Linked DNA regions of Caenorhabditis elegans. The protein of the gene in region 3 purifies or fractionates together with the protein of the main gene of each other region. This does not show direct contact. Each region holds a gene or a part of one and is shown on either strand. Other genes may lie near its edges. The genes, in order: tmem-131, ani-1 and anmt-1.

The links.
Region 1: the proteins of anmt-1 (region 3) and tmem-131 fractionate together in Caenorhabditis elegans (co-fractionation; one large-scale study listed by BioGRID). This does not show direct contact.
Region 2: the proteins of anmt-1 (region 3) and ani-1 fractionate together in Caenorhabditis elegans (co-fractionation; one large-scale study listed by BioGRID). This does not show direct contact.

The regions. Positions count from the first base shown.
Region 1 is NC_003281.10:4,991,222-5,000,687, reverse strand, and holds tmem-131 (Transmembrane protein 131 homolog), read left to right. Parts: upstream 1-2,526; 5' UTR 2,527-2,554; coding exon 2,555-2,650; intron 2,651-2,694; coding exon 2,695-2,984; intron 2,985-3,155; coding exon 3,156-3,276; intron 3,277-3,322; coding exon 3,323-3,568; intron 3,569-3,840; coding exon 3,841-4,623; intron 4,624-4,712; coding exon 4,713-4,958; intron 4,959-5,007; coding exon 5,008-5,385; intron 5,386-5,429; coding exon 5,430-6,178; intron 6,179-6,221; coding exon 6,222-6,472; intron 6,473-6,521; coding exon 6,522-6,711; intron 6,712-6,770; coding exon 6,771-6,959; intron 6,960-7,005; coding exon 7,006-8,356; intron 8,357-8,405; coding exon 8,406-8,555; intron 8,556-8,601; coding exon 8,602-8,899; intron 8,900-8,968; coding exon 8,969-9,126; 3' UTR 9,127-9,249; downstream 9,250-9,466. Other genes in the region: Guanine nucleotide exchange protein smcr-8, read right to left, coding at 1-389, 436-548, 591-737, 786-1,100, 1,146-1,305; wdr-60 (WD Repeat protein), read right to left, coding at 9,293-9,466. UniProt on the Caenorhabditis elegans protein: Collagen binding transmembrane protein involved in collagen secretion, probably by recruiting the ER-to-Golgi transport complex TRAPPIII. Required for normal development.
Region 2 is NC_003281.10:12,446,190-12,455,510, forward strand, and holds ani-1 (Anillin-like protein 1), read right to left. Parts: upstream 7,014-9,321; 5' UTR 6,996-7,013; coding exon 6,869-6,995; intron 6,804-6,868; coding exon 6,088-6,803; intron 4,680-6,087; coding exon 4,413-4,679; intron 4,349-4,412; coding exon 4,205-4,348; intron 3,568-4,204; coding exon 2,315-3,567; intron 2,256-2,314; coding exon 1,916-2,255; intron 1,170-1,915; coding exon 798-1,169; intron 747-797; coding exon 486-746; 3' UTR 164-485; downstream 1-163. Other genes in the region: scav-3 (Sensory neuron membrane protein 2), read right to left, coding at 7,537-7,626, 7,680-7,875, 7,924-8,167, 8,247-8,628, 8,733-8,861, 9,158-9,321. UniProt on the Caenorhabditis elegans protein: Required for contractile events in embryos that occur prior to mitosis, such as cortical ruffling and pseudocleavage. Promotes membrane ruffling by organizing cortical patches of septins and myosin II. Not generally required for cytokinesis in mitotic cells.
Region 3 is NC_003281.10:8,682,496-8,687,883, reverse strand, and holds anmt-1 (Nicotinamide N-methyltransferase), read right to left. Parts: upstream 3,077-5,388; 5' UTR 3,076-3,076; coding exon 2,989-3,075; intron 2,773-2,988; coding exon 2,525-2,772; intron 2,483-2,524; coding exon 2,368-2,482; intron 2,049-2,367; coding exon 1,764-2,048; intron 1,645-1,763; coding exon 1,558-1,644; 3' UTR 1,476-1,557; downstream 1-1,475. Other genes in the region: hadb-1 (putative 3-ketoacyl-CoA thiolase), read left to right, coding at 1-401, 459-783, 851-1,240; fli-1 (Protein flightless-1 homolog), read left to right, coding at 4,191-4,250, 4,299-4,505, 4,560-4,876, 4,920-5,010, 5,059-5,388. UniProt on the Caenorhabditis elegans protein: Catalyzes the N-methylation of nicotinamide and other pyridines to form pyridinium ions. Involved in regulation of lifespan extension downstream of the sirtuin sir-2.1, probably through its role in nicotinic acid metabolism.

The DNA.
Region 1 (9,466 bases), 3.7 Mb from region 3:
TTTGGATCCTTTTCGATTTTGATATTTTCTTCTACATTCCGAGCACTTTCTCTTGGAACAACTCTGCTCAATTTCCCGAGCATATCTTCTACAGTACTCTTTCTCTGTTCTGCTCCACAAACTACCAAATCTTCTCCACAAAGCAATGGAAATATGACATCTCCCAGGTGTCCAGTTACTTCTTTTAGAGTTTCTTCTCCGTTTTTATCATTATCAGATTTTCCTGAATCAGTGTTCCAAGGCAAAGTTGTAGTGGCGGCTGGTGATGTAGTTGCGATGGGACGGTGTCCACAGAAAAGAGCTCCATGAGTAGAATTTCTATTAGGGCTTCCTGATGAACATAGTTCGGAGCATAGTTGGCGTAGTTTTGGAATTATGGATGAATACGCCTGTATAATTTAATTTTTATAGGCAACAAAGGTTTTAAAATCTTACACATGGAGTGAGAGTTTCCACAGGACTCAATGGAATTGATGGAACTCGGAATGAGCAAATAATATCTTCAGCTTCGTTCATGTTTTCTGCATTGTGACCACAGCAAATGTCATCTGAAATATAATTCTAAATCAAAGTCTCAACGTTTTGTTCACCATCAAAAGCCATTTCTTGAAATCTTTTCGTCAAAAATTTGCTTTTTAGAAGCCTGGTTTGCTCGAAAACTACATTGAATCTGCTTCCGTCTGACAACTTTTGTGAATCTCCATTCAGTGTATAGTACTGTTTCAGGGTGGTTTCATCTGAAAATGGTAACAATTTGTTTAAAAAATCGAAGAAAAAAAACTTACCAACACTGTCCGAAAACTTGACAATATCAGTGACATGGCGAATAAACAGACGTCGATTGCAAATCAAAACTGGTGAAACTAATTTTTTCATAGCTGATGAGAATAGGTTCAAAGTTTCTTTTGTTGGCTTCTCCGAACATAAATAGGCGATGCATAAATTTCTTTGAAAAGCTCTTGCTCTCATGTCGTACAAATTAAAATAATATGCGGCCGCATATACACCCGTTTGATTGTTTTCCAACACAATCATTGTACCCGGAACAGTATCAGACGACATCAACCAGATTGCCATATCGTTTATGTCAACTCCGCGGACTGAAAATTAGCATTTATTCGAGAAAATTGTGTATAAATATTTACTTTTATCATCTGGCCGCTGAGAAACTACCGCTAGTGGTTTTGGTCCGATAACTTGGCAAAATTCGACAAGAGTCAGAAATGGATCAATTTTTGCGACGAATCTGTTGAATGGATCGACGACTTTGGATGGTCGGAGGAGAAAATCCTCGAATGAAATCATTTCTGAAATTAATACAATTTTAATTTCATAATAAAAAGACGAATTCAGCAGAAAACGGCTTAAAAAACAAAAGTGAAAATGTTTGCAAATTATGGAAGAGTTTCCTTCATTAAAACTTTTCAAGCATGCGCCTTTAAAGCTACAGTAACCAAAACCCTCTATAAAACTACTCATTAATCAATTTAAAAGTCAATTTACGTTCAAGTTAAATTAAATCAATATTTTCCAAGCGAAATTGTTTGCAAAAGAACAATGAAGTAACTTCCAGCAGTGTAAACATCGGAAAACCAGTCACTGCAGTCAGGAGATATTGTTCTGGTGGCCGTGGCCGAGGATTCTCCACACGGCTGAAATAACTGTAATTTGTTTCTGTAGTTTTTCTGGTTTTTAATCGTCAGTTTTGAACGTTTTCGCGCAGAAATTTGCATATTCGGAATTATTTAAGACATATTTTTGATATTTATAGTATACTCTGTCAAATATTCTATTTTTCGCGTGTTTGTTAACAACAATAGCCGAAGAAAATCATTTTCTGATTACAAAAAAAATGTGTCCATAATTTCCACAATTGTTCTGCTAAATAAAGACTGTTTTCTGATTTTCTAAATTCTATGTAAATCCAAGCGCTCAATATTTTAATGCTTCATTAATATTCATACCCGAGGTAATAAAACTAGCCTGCGGTTGACAGCTATAGACTTTTTTCCTGACTGCCTTGACCTAGATGACAGATGGTTATCACTTTGTCTTTGTTTTATTCACTTGATTCCACTCATTTTTCACCGAAAAAAGCCCTTTTTCTTTTTTCTCTCTTCACTTTTCCAAACCAGATTTCTTCGTTCTTCTTTCTCTTATAATGGTGTGATGACGTGTTCAACATCTCTATTTTCCCTCAAAAATCGATCGATCCTATTTGTTCTGCGTCTCACGACGACTGTATCTTCTTCTTCCCAAGATGCCGAATACTGGGTCTCTCCAAATCAAACACTATCTCTTCTCCCAGTTATCCTTCCCAATTGAAGTCGACGTCGCCTTTGCCGTTGTCTCTCACTTTTTTATTTCCCTGGAGAAATCTCTTAGTGCCGTTCAATTCCACGTATCATCCATGTTGCATAAGCAAATAAGCAAAAAATAAGCAATAAAAACTGATTTCCGTTTTATTGTGCTTTTTAATTATCTTACTCAGAAAACCTATAGAAAAAAATTTATTCGTTTTTTCAGAGAAACTCTCAATTTACCAAATGCTCAAATGGTTCCATCAATACACAAAACTTCAAACAGATATCGGACGATATATTTCTTCCTAATTTCTCTTTTAATCACTTCAACTTTTGCAGATCAGCAGGTATGGTTTAGCCTCAGAAATTCACATTAAAAAATCAATTTCAGGCATGGCCTCTTCCAGAAGAAGTGTCCGCATCCCAGCTTCACGAGATTCCAGTTCTTCATACCGCATTTGTTCAAATCGGTGAAGAGCTTCACTATCTCAATCATCCTATTCGACCCGAAAATGTGCATCAATTGCCAGTTTATGATTCAATTAAAGGAGTTTGTGAAGGAAATTGTCCGAAAGAAGCCAACAAGAACCATGCGACGAAAACATTCAACGTGTTGAAATTGTCTGGAAAAGGGAAACTTCCAATGGAGATGGATCCACCAATGATGGATTTTGGGCAAAAGTGAATAATTTTTAATTATACTCAAAAGATCGAACTTCATAACGAGACTTTGAAAAAATGCAATTTTTGGAATGTCTCGTTATGAAATTCGACATTTTGGGGCCATTTTAAGTATGATAACAAAAATTTTGATTAATTTAAAAAACCTTCCAAGTATGCATTTTTTTTCAGTTCTGTCGGTACCGCGCAGAAACGCAAAATCTACATTCGAAATATGAGAAATGAACAGATATTCCTCGATGCAGTTGTTGTCAACTCTATTGAATTTCAAGCTTCATATTTTGAGCAATATGTGAGTTTTCTCTACTCAAAAATCAATTATTTCTTGATAATTTCAGAAGCTTGAGCCACATGGTGTTACATCATTGGAAGTGGTCTTCCTACCACGAGAAATTGGAAAACGATCGACAATTGTTCATTTTTACACTTCTGTTGGAGTATTCACATACAAAATGCAGGGAAATTGTGATTCAAATCCATATCGTATATCACCATTTACTGGTTATCGTCTTCCGATGAATTCATCTATTTCAAAGCCAATTGTTATTTTCAATCCGTACGCGTATACAATGAGAATTACCGAGGTTTGTTTTTTAAATGAAAAATTTCACGGAGATGATAAAAATACATTCAAAGGACGTTGTTTAAATAAATATAAAAAAAAAATTTTGTATTTAAAATAGTTTTGAATCGAAAAAATACTAGTTTTTGTGAGAAAAATAGATACATTTTCATTTTTGTAACATTTCAAAACTTTCAAATGACCAATTTTCGAAAATCTTCAATTATTTCGCCTATATAATTGAATTTAATAATTATTTACTTCTAAATTAGTTTAATTTAACAAAATTTATAGATCGGAACATCTGGAGGAAATGCTCACATAGAACTTCCTCATGAAGTTGACAGTAAATTGGCTGAAGAACCACTACAATATTGGGATATTCGTCCATATCAATCCAAACAAATCGCTACGCTGGTCCTAGTTGGAGCAACTTCTGAAAATTCGACAGTATTTGTTCGAATTGGATCTGAAATTTATTTGAGCTCTGAGCATCGCAAACCGAATACGGATATCTATTTAACCGTACCAATTGAAGTTCTGAAACGTCGCGGAGTGTATGCAACAGATGAAATTTTGGATTTTGGACTTATTCGACAAGGGATGAAATCAGAGGCCAAAGTATTTTCTGTGGTTCAATATCAAATTGGAGGAAGGTTGGAATTCGAGACTCTATACGTAGAGAAAGGAGATCATACAGCAATTTATATGGAATTTGCTTCACATCCACCAATTATAGTATATCCACCAACAAAGGGAAGCGTCACATTGGGACCAAAAGCAGATCTTGTAAAAGTATATCTAGAAGGAAATCGAGTACAAATGTCACCTCAACAACAGATGAAACATATTAGTGGGCACATTATTGCAGTTTCTAGAGGTGGAAACTATAATGTTAGCATTCCGTATCGAGCCGATGTATTTCGTGGAGACCTTCTCCCGATTGGAAATGATTTATCGATTCAAGAAGATTTGAGACCACCTCATCAAAGAATTATTCGAATTGAAAATCAGTTGCCATTCGATGTGGCTATTTTCAATATTACATTGGCTCCAGAATTGGTCTCCCACTTTTCTGTAAGTTCTCATAATTTTTTTTTGGGAAATTTTTAAAGTTCAAATTCTCAAAACTGAATTATCCTAGTTATTATTTTCTCTTCTTTCAGGTTCGACTCATTGATCGCACTGCCCTCATCCGTTCCGGCCACATTTCACCAGTCTTTGTTCTGAAATACAATAAGAAACTACCACCAACATTCGATAACTCTACAATTTATCTACACACAAATGTTTCCACTTTTAATTTAAGCCTATCAACCTATACAGGAAGAATGAACGTTGAGTTGATATCTGTGGATAAAAATTCATTTGATTTCGGTTTTGTTGAAAGGAATGACACAAGGACAATTCGAGTAAGAAAAAATTAAAATAAAGTTATAACATTTCAATTTATAATTTCAGTTCGTGGTTTGGAATCACAATCGAGCTGAGATGCGTCTCAAAAATCTTGCTGTACCACATCGTTCGGCTTACCGACTCTACGAAGTTGGTGTCAAGTCGATCGGAAACTTTTCTGATGTTCGAAATGATGAACGTCTTGAATACGTTGAAGCCACCGATGTTGATATTCCACCAATGAAAGGAAAAATCTTTGATTTGGAGCTGAAAGTTCCATCGGATGGAGTTGTTCGAAACGGAAATATCATTTTCGAAACTGATTTAGAGAGTAAAATATTTGGAGTTACTTATCAAGTATCAACTGGATCACTACAGTCGATACCGGAAGAAATATGCTTCGGACAGACGTTCCCGTCGAAATTGGTTTATCGAACACTACAGGTAGGAAGATCCTAATAGTTGCTTCAATTTCTGAAATTGTTTAGGTATTCAACTCATTCGACGAAGATATGACCGTAACCCGTCTGACAACTCTCAATGAAGATCCACGATTCTTTTTCGAAGGATTCGATCCCAAGAATCCACCTGTGCTTCGTTCAGGACGACTCACTAATCTTGGACGTGTCATGTTCTCTCCATCAGCTCCATGTGAACATGATTACTGTTATCTGGGTCTCCCATTAGGAAGTTCCGATGGAGCGTGGTTTACGCATGGTCTCACACTACCATCTAATTTGCCAGAAATTGATTCTTATCTGTACAAACAGTTGAGAAAGAAATATGATGCATTGGTGAATAGTGGAAAACATCATATCAACACTACAATAATTTTGGATACTGATAAAGCAAAGAATATCAAGATCAAAACATCTGCTGAATTGGTGTGGCCACGACTTCTCACAAGAAATTCCATTCATTTCCCTCTAACAGCTCTTGGAAACTTCACCATCGTGAATCTAACACTAGCCAATCCAACAAATGTGCCAGTTGCAATTCAAGTAATTCCATTGGTTATCTACCCGGATGCAGAGTCTCTCGTCGAACTGATGCGTCCAAATTTGGTATCCGAACTGACAGATCATGTTGAAATGAACGAAACATTGATGTTTTCGTTGCGAGACACTGAATTGTTCACTTTGAAGTCAGATTCACCTGTTCCGAAGCTCAGAGAAGCATTTGAATATCATTTAAATCATGAGATGCCAAGATATAATAATGAAATTAATATTCCTAGGTTAGTTGTTTTAAAATTAATTCAATTTATCAATTAATTTCAGGTTCACGTTATCAATGATCCTAAAACCACATATGAAAATTCGACTTCGCCTTGGTTTCCTGCCATCAGACTACACACTCCGATCATCTCTTCTCTTGATTCGTAACAATTTGACAGCGATTGAGCCAGTTGTAATGTATGGAAAAGGTGCTCGAATTGGAGTTAAAGTTGAAGGAGCCGAAGCTCGATCCAAAAAGCCGTTATTATTCGAAATTCGGCACGATCATTTGACAGATTGCAATAACCCTAAAAGTATGTGATTCGAAATTTCATTGAAAAATATAAATGCAAAATTTTACAGGATTAATGCACAAATTGCACTCAACTCTGACTGTTCGCCGCCCGTTCCAAGTGATGAATAGTGGAGAAGTTCAATTTACCGTAACCAATATGAGTATTAACGGTGTTCCTTGCGAGAATCGAGGTTTTCGAATTCTCAATTGTTACCCGTTCCGTCTACAACCAAATGAGACATATGCTTTAGATATTGCGTGAGTTAGAAAAATATAATTACAAAATAAACATAAATTGTATTTTTTTTAAATTTCAGTTACACACCAGACTTCCTTACAACAACCAATGAAGCAGATTTACAACTTTATATGCACATGAACGGTAGTGCTTGGATATTCCCATTGGCATCTACAGTACCCGGTGATATGCTTGCCAAATGTCATCAGGCACTCCCTCGACCACCTTTTGAGAATATCATGTATTATAGCTGTGTAACAGCACTGATGTAAGTTTAAACAAAACTTTATGAAAACTAAAATAATTATTTTCAGATTCTGTCTTGTTTGTGTTCTTGCATGCGCCTATCTGGAAGGTGATCGTGCTATTGCCGTTGCCATCAGACAACAATTTGCCATTCCTCGCCACGTATTTGATCTCAACAATTTGAATAAGAACAATTCTACAACTACACCTGTTCCTACAGTACCTTCTACAGCTAAGCCCGAAAGTTCTATAAAGAAGCCAACCCCGGCGACTAGACCTTCAACGCTTCGAGCTTCATCCGATGCTTGGCTCATTTCTCGATTACTTATCGGTTTGGCCAACTTCATTGTGAAATGCGTTCATTTATTCTGGAAATGGTCTTTGTTCTGGAGGAGAGAAAAAGCGGATGATAAACAATCAAAATCGGCAAAAGTAACGAAAAAGAAGAATCCAGTGACAATGCAGAAGGTTGAAGAGTTCCGTCAAATGCTTGAATATGTTGGGCAGCAGAAGCGACAACAAAACTCTGGAGAACTTGCTCCAGAATTTGATGAAGTTGAAGAAGAAGAGCTTGCAGAGATGTGGGCACAGAGAAAGGATTCTGGGGCTCAATCTTCGGTTGTGACAGACCCTGAGCCACCAATGTCGAAAAGTCAAAGAAAGAAGAAACGAGCTGCGCAACAGAAAGAAAATAATAATTTGGAAGCACCTATTATTGTACAACCAGTTGTTCAAAGCCCGCCGGTTCAAAATAAAATGGAACCAGCGAAGAAAACCACTCCGGGACCATCACCAAAACCAAAAGGAAACAATCAGCGAAAGAAACATGTGCAGGTACCACCAGTCACAAAGACTCCCGTTACTCCGAAAACTTCAATTCCTCCGCCAACAGAACCAGAGAAACCCATCAAGCCATCTGAACAGAAGAAGCCCAATGCAATACCAGTTGAACGGCCAAAGCAGCCAACTCCTTCGAAAGCAAGAACGCCAAGCAAAACACCATCCCAGTCTAATCGAGCTCAGCATCCCGCTAGCTCTCCAGCTCCAATTGCTCCGACGTCAGCTCCAACAGACGACTTTGTTCACGTCCCACCAACTTCTTTAACTTCACCTGATCTCTTCTATCGTCAATTCTTGTCATCAATGGGCATGCCAATGGACGCAGGAATGTGGGATACACCAGCGGCTCAAGCTGCAATGCCGTTTATGAATCTGTGGAATTATGGAGGGCCGTTGAGTGCGGAACAGATGGAAGATCTTATTCGACAAGCTTCTGGAGTTGCTCCAATAACTAATGATTCGGAAGGAACTACAGTTACAACACCTTCGGATATTGGAATGACCTGGGGAACTAGCGGACATTTAGGAGGAGACGAAGAAAGTATTGGAGGTGAAGCTGCACCAGATTGGATTGATGAGGTAATTAAAATTAGAATTGAATATCTTTACTTATTAAGAAATATTACAGGATGTCAATGTCGATGATGCAGAAATGGATTTCTCATCGATGTCTGCCGCATCTAAGGATATATTCAAAGATGATGATATTGATAATTTCAATCAGCAAATGAAAAGACAGAGAAGTCCAAGTCAAGCTTCATCAACTCTTTCAAGAAAGGCAGGTTCACAAAAGACAAAAACATAAATAATTATTTAATTTTTAGCTTGAAAACTCACCTCAAAAAATGGGAAGTCGTCGACTGACAATAGGAAGTGAAAAGAAAAATAATCAATCATCATCTTCGGCATTAAATCCGAATTACGACTTTACAAGGACACCCGGAAATCCGAATAGAATGCAAATGTCTCAGAACTCAATTCAGCCTGCACCTCCAGCAACATCTATTTGGGGAGACAATTCAAATTCGGATCCATGGGGCACAAATACGGTGTCAAATCCACTTTCTGAACTAGAGGATGATCCATTGTCACTTTCACATTTAGGAATCAATCTGGCTTCAAGTGAGTTTCAGTTTTTCCTCTTAATTTCTATGTTAATTAAACAATTTTAAACACAAAATCATTTTTTAGCCGAATCATCTGCAACAGGCCCAATGTTCACAATGTTCAGTGGTCCAGAATTCAATTTATGGTCGTCAAGTTCACTCTTCCATCCCCCAACACAACAACCATCAACTTCTCAAATGCCACAAGATACGGACAACGAGAATGATGAAAAGAATAACTAATAATCTCATTCTCAAACAGATTTCCCATATTATATCTACTTATCTGCTATCCAAATCTATATGTGTGTGCTGAAAAAGACTGAAGAAAAGAGCACGTCTTCAAATGAAAGTTTTTTGAACAACAATACGGTTTTATTTCAAATTTTCAATATCCAAAAAAGATCATTCACAAATTTTTAATTCTTCTCAAAACCTCCAAAATGGTTTCGTTTTGATTCTTCCGCGCGGGATCTTCTAGAACATGAACCTCGGAATCTCCATTGCTTAATCCAAAAGCCATATAACCAATTTTAGCGTTTTCCGAAAGCCACGTGTCAGATGCAAGTACTTGAACAGAATC
Region 2 (9,321 bases), 3.8 Mb from region 3:
GAAAGGAGCAAAAAATTGAGCACAGTTTAACATTTTTCGCAAAAAAAGTTGAACTTTTTATCTGTAATTACATGGCATATCTAGTTCGATTTAAAGTTATTTTTAACTTGAATATTTCCTTTTCTTTCCGTCTTCTTCATTCTATTCGGAACCACTGTTTTCTCACACTTTCACCAAATGTTTATTTTAACAAAAAAAAAACCGAAAATTAATTGTAAGAGTGTACGATGGTGAGGGGCACTGTGAAACTAAAATTTTCGAATAAATCGAAAAAGGCCCAAAAAGAGTGGAATAATGATAATGGGACAGTGATGTATTGATTAAAAAAGAAGGGAGTAAATTCTAGAAAAGAAGGAAGCTAAACATGGAGAGAGAGAGAGAAGTAACGAGAATAATAATAAAACATTTGATTATTTGTCAAAAAAAATCTGAGGGGAAAAACTGGGGGATACATACAGGCACAAAGCTTGCAAAAAAGGGGGGGACTACTGATTAACAATCGGATTTCTCCACGTGCACAACTGCTTCGACGTAGAATTGATCAGTGACAGCCATGTTTGAAGATCTTGAGCTGTATCGGCCGCCAGCATAACTCGAAGACGCTCAATGCCACGTGGATCCGATGTATCCATTTTTGGAGCCCAAACATCAATGTGGAAGCTATTCGGGAATGGGCAAATGTCTTCAACTACCGATGCACCTTCGGAACGGCAACACGTTGAAAGATCCATTAGTGCAGTGTAACCCTACAATAAAAAAAGTTTAATTTTAGACAAAAAAAATAAAAATTTAAAAACCTTAGTTCCCTCATCTTCTGGCTGCTTCCAAAACTTCATCTCTCCATTCTCAAGAGCACACCAGTATCTCGTCCACGATCCGAGCCCCTCGCCAGTTCTCTGATACATTGACAAGAATCCGTGATAAGTGATATCAGCTCCATCGATCGCCTGTTTGCGTACTTTCATCTGTGTAATACCTTCGAGCGGATATACAGTATGTGACATGTTGTACAAATGTTTTCCAGGGCAATTGATGTCGAACGAGAATGTTCCGAGCAAATTGAAGTTGGATGTGGTCGACGAAGTTGATGATGACGATGCTGCTGGATCGACGAATAGGCTCTGGTTTGCTGATGAAGTTGATCCGCCGCCCAGGAATGTGTTACGAGTCTAGAAATATTACTTATTTCCAGGTTCTATTGATATACACGTCTAATTAAAGGCGCACGGGTTTATTCAGAAGGGTCTCGGAGCGCATGATAACCTCATTTATTTTCCATTTTGCAATCAAATTGCTTGCGAGTATGTAGCGAAAAATTCGCTTAAAACAACGGCGCGCCGAGACCCATATGAATAAATCTGTGCGGCTTTAAGAACACGGCCCGAGAAGTGGTACCTGTACGCAATTTGTCTACCGTATACCTGGACGTTTGGGCGCGTGTATCTCAAAAACAGTTGTCCAGTTTTTTTGTGATGCATATAAAAAATGCCCGATATTAAATTCTACATTTTTTGGACCAAAGCTTTTTTCGTTATCACGCGCCCAAACCTGGTCTACACTCAAATTATCAGTAGAGCGCATTTGCATGGATGTACCACTTGCCGGAACGTGAAGAAGATGAAGTTATGATACATTATTAACAGAAAACAGAAGAACAAGACATTTGACAATAACAAACAAACAAACAAACAGACATACATCATGCAATCTTCTCCACAATCTACAGGGTAGGGGCACTCTCTTCTTCTCCTCACTTGCTAAGTTTTCAGCAGCTGTCATTCTCGATTCATGCTCACACTCATCAACAACATCATAACAACACCATTTGTCGATATTCTATAGCAGCAGACATTTCGAATTTTCAACGGACGAGTATGTAAAATATGACAAATATTTCGGAAAAAAACAAACAAACCTTCGCCTTAAACGTCGAATTCTTCAACTTGTACTTATCCTCGTGCGACGTCGATTCTCGCATCGATCGTTGTCCATAAATCTCGACAGTTGCTCGGAAATCCGGTGGAATCCCGGTCAACATCAGTGGTACGGGAAACTCGAGAACACCACGACGATTCAGACCACCGTCGCTTGTCACCATTTTCGACACGTCGACTTGCTCGCCGTAGCGGAGAATCGCCGCGAAATAGAAGACTTCATCGGATTTCTTGCTTGACGCAATATTAGCTGACACATAATCACGAGCCATGTTCACTGACAACTGGGATACTGTTATCGTTCCACGTGGTCCATCGATACTGGAAAAAAATTGAATATTTTTTTAGGTGAAAAAAAAATTCGGAAAAAAAAAACTAACATTCTCGGTCCATCTCGTTTCAATCGATCATACTCAGTGAGAAGTGCTCGATGCTTTTCCACATGACGAAGCATTGCCCATTGTGCTTCAAATTCCTCACGCGATCCACGGAAACTTGGCTTATCCCGGGCCAATATCATTGCTCTCTTGGATTGAGCAACAAGCTGCTCTTCAACTTGAATCGCTCGCTTGATACGATCGTGAGCATCCTTAGCCGACTCGACAATTCGTGCTCCATTCGCAGGCCCGGTGGTGAGCTGTCGAAGTTTCTGTTGTGATGTGAGCGATGATGACATCGGCGGAGCAGATGGACTGATTTGACTGATAACTGGCCCGGCCAGCACTGTCGACGATTCTTCGTTTCTGTCTCGTTGAATTTTTCGATAAAACGAAACAGAGTAGGCCAGTTGAGAACTTGATTTTCGTGATCTTTCAGGTACAGGAAATTGTGTTGTTGCATCGTCATCCTCTTCTTCTTCCGGCTCATAGGGTTCAGATTCATCCTCATTTTCAGTTTCTTCTTCAATAACCTCCGCCGGCGGCCTATTCTTTTCCAAACGTTGCAACGGAGGCTCGCGATATGGGCTCGGCGTTCCAGCCCCAGATCCTTCCATAAATCCAAATGCATTATCAATGAATTTAGAAGTATCCTCTTCTTCTTCCTGAAGAATTCCATCTTCTGATATCACGTCTCCTCCATCATTAAATTCTGGAGCTTCAAACACATCATCTTCTTCTTCTTGCTCATAACGAGTACTTTTCGATGCAGGAGAAGCCGTGTTACTCCGAGCACCTTGCGAGTAGAGCGACGAGGCGGATGGTCCTTTTCGCTCTGATCTGTGACCAAGCTGTTTCGGAATCGCACTCTCCTTCATCTTAATTGCCGTAGCAATCAACGAATCTTCGGTAGCATCAGGATGTATTGGCGTGCCAGTTGCCGACGAAAACTCCCATCTCGACTTCAAATTCTTCAGCTTTCCAACTCCGGCTCCAACTGGTGGCTCATTACCAGCAGTCTTCTCGTCGGCACGAGCTCCCTGCACAACTGGAGTATTCGATTGTCCTCTCCATTGAGTTTGAACTGGAATCGGTGCAGTCGCGACGATCCCCACTACGGGGAACAGGTGCTTCTTTTGTTGAGCAGCATGACGATGGTTTGGAGTCAAGTGGCTCTGCTGGGCTACTGTAGGTGCCAATGGAGCCACGTGGCGTGGCGTTGGAACTGGTGCTGATGTAGGTGCAGGAGGCGCTGTCTGGAAATGGAGAGAAATCCGGTTTGGCTTTTTGCATCCGCAACATTTTGAATTTCCACTGAAAATAGCAGATTTTTCAGAACTATCAAATTTTTAGCTTTAGAATTTTATTTTCTGCATTTTCCGAACAAACTTTTTCGTTAAACAGTGAAAATCGAATTTAAAATGACTAAAATGAACCTTTTTCGTCCACTGGCTGTGAAATGTTTTGAATTTGAAGAAATCAACGGGATTTTTCTTATTTTCTAAAAATTTTTCTATTGAAAATCGGTTTTAATACATTTTTAATAGAAAAATATCTAGAAAATAAGAAAAATCCCATTGATTTTTTCAAATTCAATCCATTTCACAACCAGTGGACGAAAAATGTTCAGTTTAGTCATTTTAAATTCGATTTTCACTGTTTAACGAAAAAGTTTGTTCGGAAAATGCAGAAAATAAAATTTTTAAAGCTAAAAATTTGATGAATCTGAAAAATCTGCTATTTTCAGTGGAAATTCAAAATGTCACGGATGCAAAATCGCAACAATCGTGTTTTGCAGGGGGGATTTTTTCTAGTTTAATTAAATATTTTTTAATTTCCAATCAGTCGCAATAATCAGCTGCCAAGAGCATTTTCCACATCATATCTACTCACAACATTCGCGCTACTACTTTTCTTCAATTTCTCCTCAAACTGAAGCCGTCTCGTAGTCGCAATTGATCCTTCGACTGCGGCGGATTTCGATGGCGAGAAGATGCTCTCCGACAGAGTTTTCGGTGACGACGTGCTTTTTGGAGTCTGAAAGAGAGCAGTTAGTAGGTGAGGTGATAGAGGCGTGAAGCAAAAAACCAAAAAAACATACAAAATGCACAGGCGAGAACATGGATCTTCCGATATCTTTAGAAAACGGTTTTGGCGACGACGAGACAAGTGCATTGATGTTGTTGTTCGAGGTTTTAGTGAGCAAATACGAAGAAGTAAATGTATTAGTCGTGGTTTTTGTTGAAGCCGAGTCCTGTGGAGCATTCGATATTCCAGACGTTGTAGAGCCTGATGCACCGGAGATCGTAGTTAAAGTTGTCGTTGACGATGATGATGATGTCGCAGATGAAGCTTCTTTTGGCACCTTCTACACGACAAAAAAAAAACAAAAGGATTAGGCAACAAAGGATTTTCTCGAAAGCGTGCGAAATTATCACTAAAAAAGGCGTGCGGACTATGTATTTTGGAGTTATTATCGAAAAATGTTTCTCAAAATCTCATTTTTAAGGCTATGTCCCTTTAAGATTTGTGTAGATTTACGAGCTCGTGTACTATGCGTGGACAAACGTGAATTTATGTTCTTGCAGGATTTCACAATTTTTCGCTAAAAAGGGTGATTTTTCACTTTTCGTCCATTTTTCTGCATTTAAAACTGCCAGTCTACCTATTATATATTGTAATTTTACAAGACATGTCTTCCTAAAAACGCAAGGATTTATTCCGATGGGTCTCGTCGCGCTAAAAAGTTTATGATTAAATTGTTTTTTATTTTTCATTGAAATTACGTTGTTTTAAGCGATTTTTATCGACAAAATTCGCTATACGAAGCAATAAACTTTTGGCGCGCTGAGACCCATCTGAATACATCCATGCGCCTTTAAAGGTGGACTACGCTCAGTGGGGAAATTGCTTTAAAACACGCCTATGGTACCACAATGACCGAATATCATGATTAAAAAAATTCAAAAAAATTTTCTAAATTTTATATGATTTTTTGAAAATTGAAAAAATCTCAGTTTTTGCCTAATTCCTGTTTGAATTACCGCCAATTGGATTTGTTCGATGGAGCGCGCTTGCACGTTTTTAAATTCATTTATTTTATTTTTTGTTATTTTCCACCAATTTTTTAATGTTTTCGGTGTATTTTTGCTCGAATTTTAGAGAAAAAGTCAAGATAAATGCAAATTTTCGATTAAAAAGCAAACGTACAGGCGTAAATCAGTGAAATTAATTAATTCAGGTTCGAAATCGTTTAAAAGCGTTACTTTTCCATTTTTACGCTCGTAAGCGTGCTTTTTAATCGAAAATTTGCATTTGTCTTGACTTTTCCTTCAAATTTTCTGTAAAAATACACAGAAAACATGAAAAATCGGTGGAAAATAACAAAAAAAAATAAAATAAATAAATTTAAAAACGCGCAAGCGCGCTCCATCGAACAAATCCAATTGGCGGTAATTCAAATAGGAATTAGGCAAAAACTGAGATTTTTTCAATTTTCAAAAAATCATATAAAACCTAGAAAATTTTTTTATTATGATATTCGGTCATTGTGACCCCATAGGCGGGTTTAAAGCAATTTCCCCAATGAGCGTAATCCACCTTTAAGAAGGCAAGTCAAAATCTTGAGAAAATACGACAATATTAGGTAGATTGGCAATTTTGAATGAGAAAAATTAACGAAAAACCGTGAAATCCTGCACGAAAATAAATTCGCGATTGTCCACGCACAGTACACGAGCTCGTTAAAGGGACATTGACTTTTCCCAACATTCTACCTTTCTCATAAATGTGTGCGGTCCATATTCTTCGTTTGAAACTTGCTGTCTTTCTCTCAAAATCGCCTCTCGATTATCACACGATTGTGCGTTGATAATCGTATTTTCGTGTGTTATATGCTGATTCATCGACAGCTCTCCACAGCTCAGCGACGACGTGGTGACGTTCATCATTTCGGCAGAGCCTCCGAGCACAGTGCTCTGATCGTTTACAGATGATCCGGATCCTCCGGAGAAAATCGACGATTCGTTGGGCAGATAGTTCACATTCACAATTGGCTGGGCGAATTTGATGCGGCGAGCTTCGAAATCCGACATTCCGAGAGCGATTTCGGGAGCACTTTTCGACGATACCGCTACATTTGGGCTTTTCATGGCTTGTGCTCCAGCCGGAGTACACAGGACTGCTGGACGTGTCTCTCCGATCGACATTCGTGGAGATCTTCCCTTCATATATGCTTCTTTCGGCTTATTGTACTGTGATTGGTAGTCATATTCGTATTCATCGATTTCTTGAGCCAACATTGAGAATCTCGACGTCTTTTTGGAGCTTGACTCGTTGACTGTGGCATCTTTGAACGAATTTAATGAATTTTCAGCGTTTTCCTTCATATTTGGAGTTGTCTCCTTTGGCTCTTGAGGGTGAAAATGCACTGGAGTTGACGGGCCGTCGTTGCATTTTGAGGAGCTTCCGAAGACTTTTGTTGGAGATGCAACTGAAAATCAAACATATTAATTAATATATTTATATTTCTGTATTCTTAAAAACCCCAAAATATACCTTCTTGCTTCACAGATGTAATTTTTGAGGTCACTGGCCCATTCTCCTTTGCCACCTCTCCTTCGCCTGACATTTCGGCTTGCCGAACTCGTATGCGTTCCATTAGAGAATCGAATTGATCCCCCATTGTATTTACAGTGTAGTTCTGCAAGAAAACAATGTTTCCAAGAAAATCTCATCAAAACTTGCGAACAGTTTCAACGAATTCGTAAAACGACGCACTTTTCGCAGCTTTTCTTGTAGAAAATAATTAAAATTGACTAATACGCGTTTATATCGGGCAAAATTCGTGGAAAACGTGTCAAAAAACAGGAAAAATGTGAAAATTCACGTCAAAAAATCGAAAAACGTTTAAAATCGAGTTGCAAAATTTGAATACATTGTTTTGGCGGCAACCAGGTCTCGACGCGTGGTGGGACCCACGCGTGAAAAAAAACGCGCCTTTAATCCCGCGCATCTGCGTCTCTTCTTTTCGCGTGCTCTCTCTCTCTCTCCCTCTCGCGGGATTTCGTCAAAATAAAAAAAAATTTCGAAAAAAATCATTTATTCAATTAATATTTACAAGAAAAAGTGCCATATTAAGTCGTGTGAGCACCAGAATTATTGCAACCTGCATCAAAAATTCGAAATTATCACAATATGATTAAAAATGATTTAAATTTTTAAATTTATGCCAAAACTGCGTTCTCGTCTTGCGCAGGCTCTTCGTCCTCATCCTCCAGCACAAGACGTCCGTACTCTTCTTCGTCGGATTGTCGCTGTAAATTAGAGGAAATTGAATTTTGCAGAAAACCAACAATAATATAATTACCGAATAAACAATGATTACAACAAAAACGGCAAGCCAGGCGATAAGACCAAGTGACAAGCTGATAACACCTCCAATAAATGAATAATGTTTTGCGTTGAAAATATTAATCAGCTGATCACGAGTTCCTTGATCGAAATACGCAGTTTCGTTCATCCAAAGGACTGGAACAACGACGTTTGTCGTGTTTTCGGTGACACTGAAAAATCGATAATTATTAGAGATTTCAATTTCGTAATAGGTAAACCTCAAGGATCCCTTGACCATTCCCACATTAATCTGCATAATTCTTTTCGCTTGAGTTGGAACGCCGGCAGTTGGCTCAATATCTACAACAGTCAGGTCATTTGAAGCAGTTGGCACCGAGAGCCCAGTGACGGAATGCCACAGCTCCATTGGTGAGTTGTAGAAGTGTGGATTGGATAGATAGACACGTGGATTGCCGGCTTGGCATCGTGACAAGTCGATAAGACCGGCAGGGAGGCAGTTTTCTGGAAAAATTAATATTAAAATTTAAATTTAAATTTACAATCGAATTTTTTAAAATAAAACTCTCTCTCTCTCTCTCACCAATTTGCACAGTAGTATTATCAAAATATCGCGGCATTCCATTCTTATTACAAAATGCTCGATTCTGCGGAAGAGCAGGATCGTAAAGATCCAAAGGTGGTGCATATCTCCACGAAGGAACCCCATTCACAGCGACATCTTTTGTGTATTCCATTTGAATTGATCTACATATTTGCGGCACAAATATCGTCAATCTGTCTTCTCGTTTCAGCATCGGACTGAACAATTGTCCATCGGTTCCGTTAATCATTCGTGCGTATTTAGTATCCCATGTTCCTTCGGGCATTTCTGTCATATTATTCCACGTGTATAAATGACCGATTTTCGATGGAGATGGCACGCCAGCATCCACTTCGTATATTCCGTCTGTTGTTCCATTTTGCTGAAGAAAAATCAATATTTTGGAAGGAAAACCGTGCGGCATGGTTGCGCAAAATTTGGCTCCGCCTATTTTTCTGTGCGGCACCTTGCAAACTCATATCTTACCCCATAAAAGAATCCAACTCTCCGCTGAAGAGAATTCGTTTCGCAGAGGAATTGAAGAATTTTATTTTTACAAACGATATCGATTATCGGGTCTTCGTATCCGTCGAATAGAGCATCGCTTACTTTTACCTAAAATTTCACTATTATATTACGGAGAGCACAAAATTCCGAGAATTGCGTATTGCACAACATATTTGACGCGCAAAATGTGAAATATCTCGTAGCGAAAACTACAGTAATTCTTTAAATGAGACTGCTGGAGAGTTGTCGATTTACGGGCTCGAATTGAAAAAAATTCGAGCCCGTAAATCGACACAAGCGCTACAGTAGCCATTCAACGAATTACTGTAGTTTTCGCTGCGAGATATTTCATATTTTGCGCGTCAAATATGCTGTCCAATACGCATTCTTAGAAAAAACTATACCGTAATATACGGAGCCTCGGAGACCATTTTTAGCACTGACTCAATAGCAAATTTGATTCGAACTCCAAAAATTGTCACATCAGCCGCGTCGATGAGCTTTTGAAATACAATATTCGGAATTGTAACCTTCATATCCAAATGGCACGTTGGACAAGAAGCATTTT
Region 3 (5,388 bases):
GTTATTCAAGAATGCAAGACCAGTAACATTGCTAGAGAAGCTGCTCTTCTCGCTGGTGTTCCAGATAAGATCCCAGCTCACACTGTCACTCTTGCATGCATCTCATCAAATGTCGCAATGACCACTGGAATGGGAATGCTCGCCACTGGAAATGCAAATGCAATCATCGCCGGAGGAGTCGAATTGTTGTCTGATGTGCCAATTCGTTACAATCGAAACGCCAGAAAGGCTATGTTGGGAATGAATAAAGCAAAAGATGTTCCATCGAAGTTGAAGATTGGAGGACAAATTGTCAAAAATTTGCTTTCTCCTGAACTGCCAGCGGTCGCTGAGTTCTCAACTGGTGAGACAATGGGACACAGTGGAGACAGACTTGCTGCCGCGTTCAATGTTTCTAGAAGGTAATTTTCCTTAAATTTCTGGGAAATTAATTAATGTCTACTTATTTCTATTTTCAGAGAACAAGACGAATTCGCAATCCGCTCCCACACTCTTGCTTCGGAAGCAGCTAAGAATGGAAAATTCACTGATGTTGTTCCAGTATTCTTAGACGGAAAAAAGCCAAAGACAATCAAAGAGGACAACGGAATTCGTGTATCCACTCTTGAGAAGCTGTCATCTCTGAAACCAGCATTTGTGAAGCCACACGGAACTGTGACTGCTGCCAACGCATCTTACTTGACCGATGGTGCTTCTGCTGCTCTTATCATGACTGAGGAGTATGCTCTTGCCAACGGATACAAGCCAAAAGCCTACTTGAGAGACTATTTGTATGTTGCACAGGTAAGATTATAATAGTTTTGTTGTTTTTAGTAGCTTTCGAGCGTTTTTAATTTCCAATATATTTCAGGATCCAAAAGATCAGCTCCTGCTCTCTCCAGCCTACGTCATTCCAAAGCTTCTGGACAAGGCAGGACTCACTCTTAAGGATGTTGATGTATTTGAGATTCACGAAGCTTTTGCCGGACAAGTCCTTGCCAATTTGAACGCGATGGACAGTGATTACTTCTGCAAAGAGCAGATGAAACGATCTGGTAAATTCGGAAGAGTTCCAATGGACAAGCTCAACCTGTGGGGAGGATCTTTGTCAATCGGACATCCATTCGGAGCCACTGGTGTGAGACTTGCAACTCATTCAGCTCACAGACTGAAGGAAGAGAAGGGACAGTACGCTGTAATTGCAGCCTGTGCTGCTGGAGGTCACGGAGTTGGAATGCTCATTGAGGCTTATGGAAAGTAAACTCGAGGTTACTTTAAACCCACTTTTCTGTATGATAAATTAGTGATTGTCCCAACTATTTATTCTTCCCATTTCTGCCATTTTCCCGTATTTCTCTTTTTAAATGTTTATGTGTATAGATTGTAGCGGTTGTCGTGCCTTTTCGTCTCCTCGTAATTCTACTGGTCATTTCTGAACACTTTCTTTTTCCTTTTCGATATTCTGTCAAATATCACCATCATTGCCATCACCAAAAAGGAAGTGGTACTAACTTTACTGAATAGTTAAAAGTTTATAAAATATTTTTAAAAAAACACAACAAATTAAAAAATATTTAACTAAAGTTTCTTCGATACAAGTAAGAAAATGTCGTCATGTGTAATGAATTTATATCCTTGTTCGGCAGTTGTCGCCATACCATTTGCCTGAAATCATATGGTTGGGAGAATAATTTGGAACATTTTGAAATTTTTTGCTCTTGTTGGTGGATCTTTTTTTTCAAAGAATAATATTTTAAAACACTTTTTTCAAAAATACAATTTACCTTGAGACTTTCAATTATATGTGCTTGTTTCAGCCGATGACATCGAAATGTTTTTCCTCCAAAATTGTAGGTCGTTGCATCGAGAACACCACCTTGAATCAGAATACCACCTTCATCAATAAGGGAACACGCACTTCGTACCGCCCGGAAATATGCTTCAAGAGTTTCACATGAATACTCTAGACAGAAGACAGTTGATACAACTTGAAATTTGTCTGGAACTTGAACTTGCTCATTTTCTTTCCAGACAATTGATTGAACAACCGGAGATTCATGGACGTTCACCTGAAATTAAACATTTGATAACATGCAAAACTTTGACGCGAAAATTTGCGCTTTTTGGCATAAAATTAGCTACCCGGTCTCGACACGACAAATTTTCGATAGGTGGGAAAGGATGTGCGCCTTTAAGAGGTACTCTAGTTTCTAACCTATCGGACATTTTTTGTTTCGAGACCGGGAATTCCCGGGAACCGAGTTCACCGGATTGTTGCGAAAAAATGACAAAACAACTGAAATATCTACAGTAATCTTCCTCATCTTTATAAAGACCCACAAATTTAATTTTATATTAAAATCTATAAAACGATATTTCAAAACTTACATCTAAAACTGCTCTCATCAACTTTCTCGTCTTATTCTGCATTTGCTTTCCAGTTTCCATAGATGCTTCAATATTGGCAATCCATGAACACACATTGTCCCAATCAAAGTCAGATCTGAAATTGAACTTAATATATTAATTTCAGAAATTAACCTACTTGTCCTCAATCCAATTGATAAGTGTATCTCGATTAGCTGGTGCATAGTCAGAAGTATAAATATTTTCAGCACGATCCCGCAAAGAAATTGGAAGATATACAGTTGGACCTGCACCCAAATCCAGAACACTTCGAACTTTTTGAGGTAAACGATAAAGGATTCCAGGTAGAAAGAAGAGTACTATTTGCATTGCTGTATCTTCTGATGCTGTTTTATAGAAACTATTGAGATATGCTGTTGGGTTGAACTGAAATTTTGTATTTATTAACATCATGCTTTTTTTATTTTTGTTTTTTTTTTTGGTGTAGTAATAGTTTTGGCAACTGCCAAAATTTTGAAACATTTAGACAGGCACTTTCGACTGTAAACTAAAATTTTCAAAATAGTTTCAAAAGTATTACTACGATATCTAGTCATTTTTATCTTCTATGACATGTTCCAAAACTTTCTGATAAACACGAACTTTATCTTTATGCTCAATAGCTGCACATTCTTCATCCTTTGGCTTTTCATCTTCTCCAGTATTATCGTTTTCCGTTGTTCCGGTCATCTGAATACACACACATCATTTCCATATGAATAACAAGAGATAAAACAGAGAAAAAGAAGGACAAAGATGCGATTCAAAGATTCGAAAGGTTGCGACTTCAGTTGGTACTTCTCTGGCATTTCTTCCCTCCTCTGATATATCCGGTCCACCTTGCCCGTCAAATGCTCTCTAATATCTGCGTCTCTCTGGGTTCCCGTGCTATTTTTCATGGATCTGTAGTGTAACACTCATCGGGCGAGTTGTCTGTGTCTCTATTCCGATCACTCTCTCTCTACAGCTTCTCCTTTCTGTTCGTGTGAGGCTCCCGGGCCGGGGTGCTCGTCCCGTTTCTTTATGTTTCTCCGTTTCGGATCACCTTGTTAATTGTTCGTCTCCCAGTTCCACTTCTTGCTCTTTTTGGGTTTATTCGTTATACGAATTTTCAAAGTTTCACAGAACAACCTTTAAATTTTTTAAACTTTAACAGTTGCACATAACCATTTTAAAATCTCGACTTCAATTCCTAGAAAAATCCTTAAAATATATTGGTTCTTGATCCTAATGTACAGTAGCTACTACTGTAGCTAAACAGTAATAAAATTGCGAAAATTGTTACCAATTTGATATGTTTTCCTATTTCACTTCATTTCCAAAAGTCAGCAGTTATCACTTACTTTTATTTCGAAATATTTTTTTATAAAAAAGATTTTTGATGAGAAAACCAGCACGGAAATGCAAAATAAAGTCAGGTGACAAAATGTTGTAAACACAAATGATGCCCAATAATTATGAAATAGGAGGTATTCTTTTTATATTTGACACACTTCTGATATCACTTCCTTTTCGTGCTCAAAACCAATTTTAATGAAGAAAAAATGTGGTAAAATCTCATAAATCTTGCATTCTAGACTTGAAATTTTCACTTCTCTTTTCGAACGGTTATTTTTGCCACGCGCAAATCCTAGGCCACGGCCTTCCGGTTTCTAGGCCACCACCGCCATTTTGAGTTTTTTCAATTACAAATTTAACAATTTCCACAGTTTTCTTTGAAATTTATTCATTTAATTGCTTTAAATCTATATTTATATATTAATTTTAGTGTTTAGTGAAATAAAATGCAATAGATCGCTACAAATATGTCAACAGGAGTGTTACAATTCGTCAAAGGAATCGATTTCTCGGGAAATGACTTTTCGGTGAGTTTTTCTTAGTTTTAGACACAATTTTTATACGTTTTTTTTCAGGGAGATCGATTTCCTCACGATGTGGAACAAATGACGCAAATGACATGGTTGAAATTGAACGATTCGAAGCTCGAACAGGTGCCTGATGAGCTGTCGCGTTGTGCGAATCTGGAACATCTGCAAATGGCTCACAATCAACTTATTTCTGTACATGGAGAGCTTTCTGATTTACCGCGACTACGATCAGTGATTGTCAGGGATAATAACGTAAGAATTTTTGTTTTCTAATTTAGTTAAAATAAAATAAAACGAGATTTTCAGCTAAAAACCGCCGGAATTCCAACGGACATTTTCCGCATGAAAGATCTTACAATTATCGATTTATCGCGAAATCAATTGAGAGAAGTTCCAACAAATTTGGAGTATGCAAAAGGATCAATCGTTCTGAATTTGAGCTATAATAATATTGAAACTATTCCGAACAGCGTTTGTGCCAATCTTATCGACTTATTGTTCCTGGATCTTTCGAACAACAAATTGGACATGCTTCCACCACAGATTCGTCGATTAAGCATGCTTCAAAGTTTGAAACTTTCAAATAATCCACTTAATCATTTCCAATTGAAACAATTACCAAGGTTACTGAAAAAAAACAGAAATTCAAAACAAAGAGTCTTTCAGCATGACATCCCTAAGCGTTCTTCACATGAGTAATACCAATCGAACGCTGGATAATATTCCTCCAACTCTGGATGATATGCATAATTTAAGAGTGAGTTTCAGAGTTTTCAGCTTACAATTTAAAGTTTTACGTTTCCAGGATGTTGATTTTTCTGAAAACAATCTTCCCATTGTCCCGGAAGCTCTCTTCAAACTGCGAAATCTTCGAAAATTGAATCTAAGTGGAAATAAAATCGAAAAATTGAATATGACTGAAGGAGAATGGGAGAATTTGGAAACATTAAACATGAGCCATAATCAATTGACAGTTCTTCCGGATTGTGTTGTCAAATTGACAAGACTCACCAAATTATACGCAGCAAATAACCAATTGACATTCGAAGGAATACCATCTGGAATAGGAAAACTCATTCAACTTACCGTACTTCATTTGTCATATAACAAGCTGGAATTAGTTCCAGAAGGAATC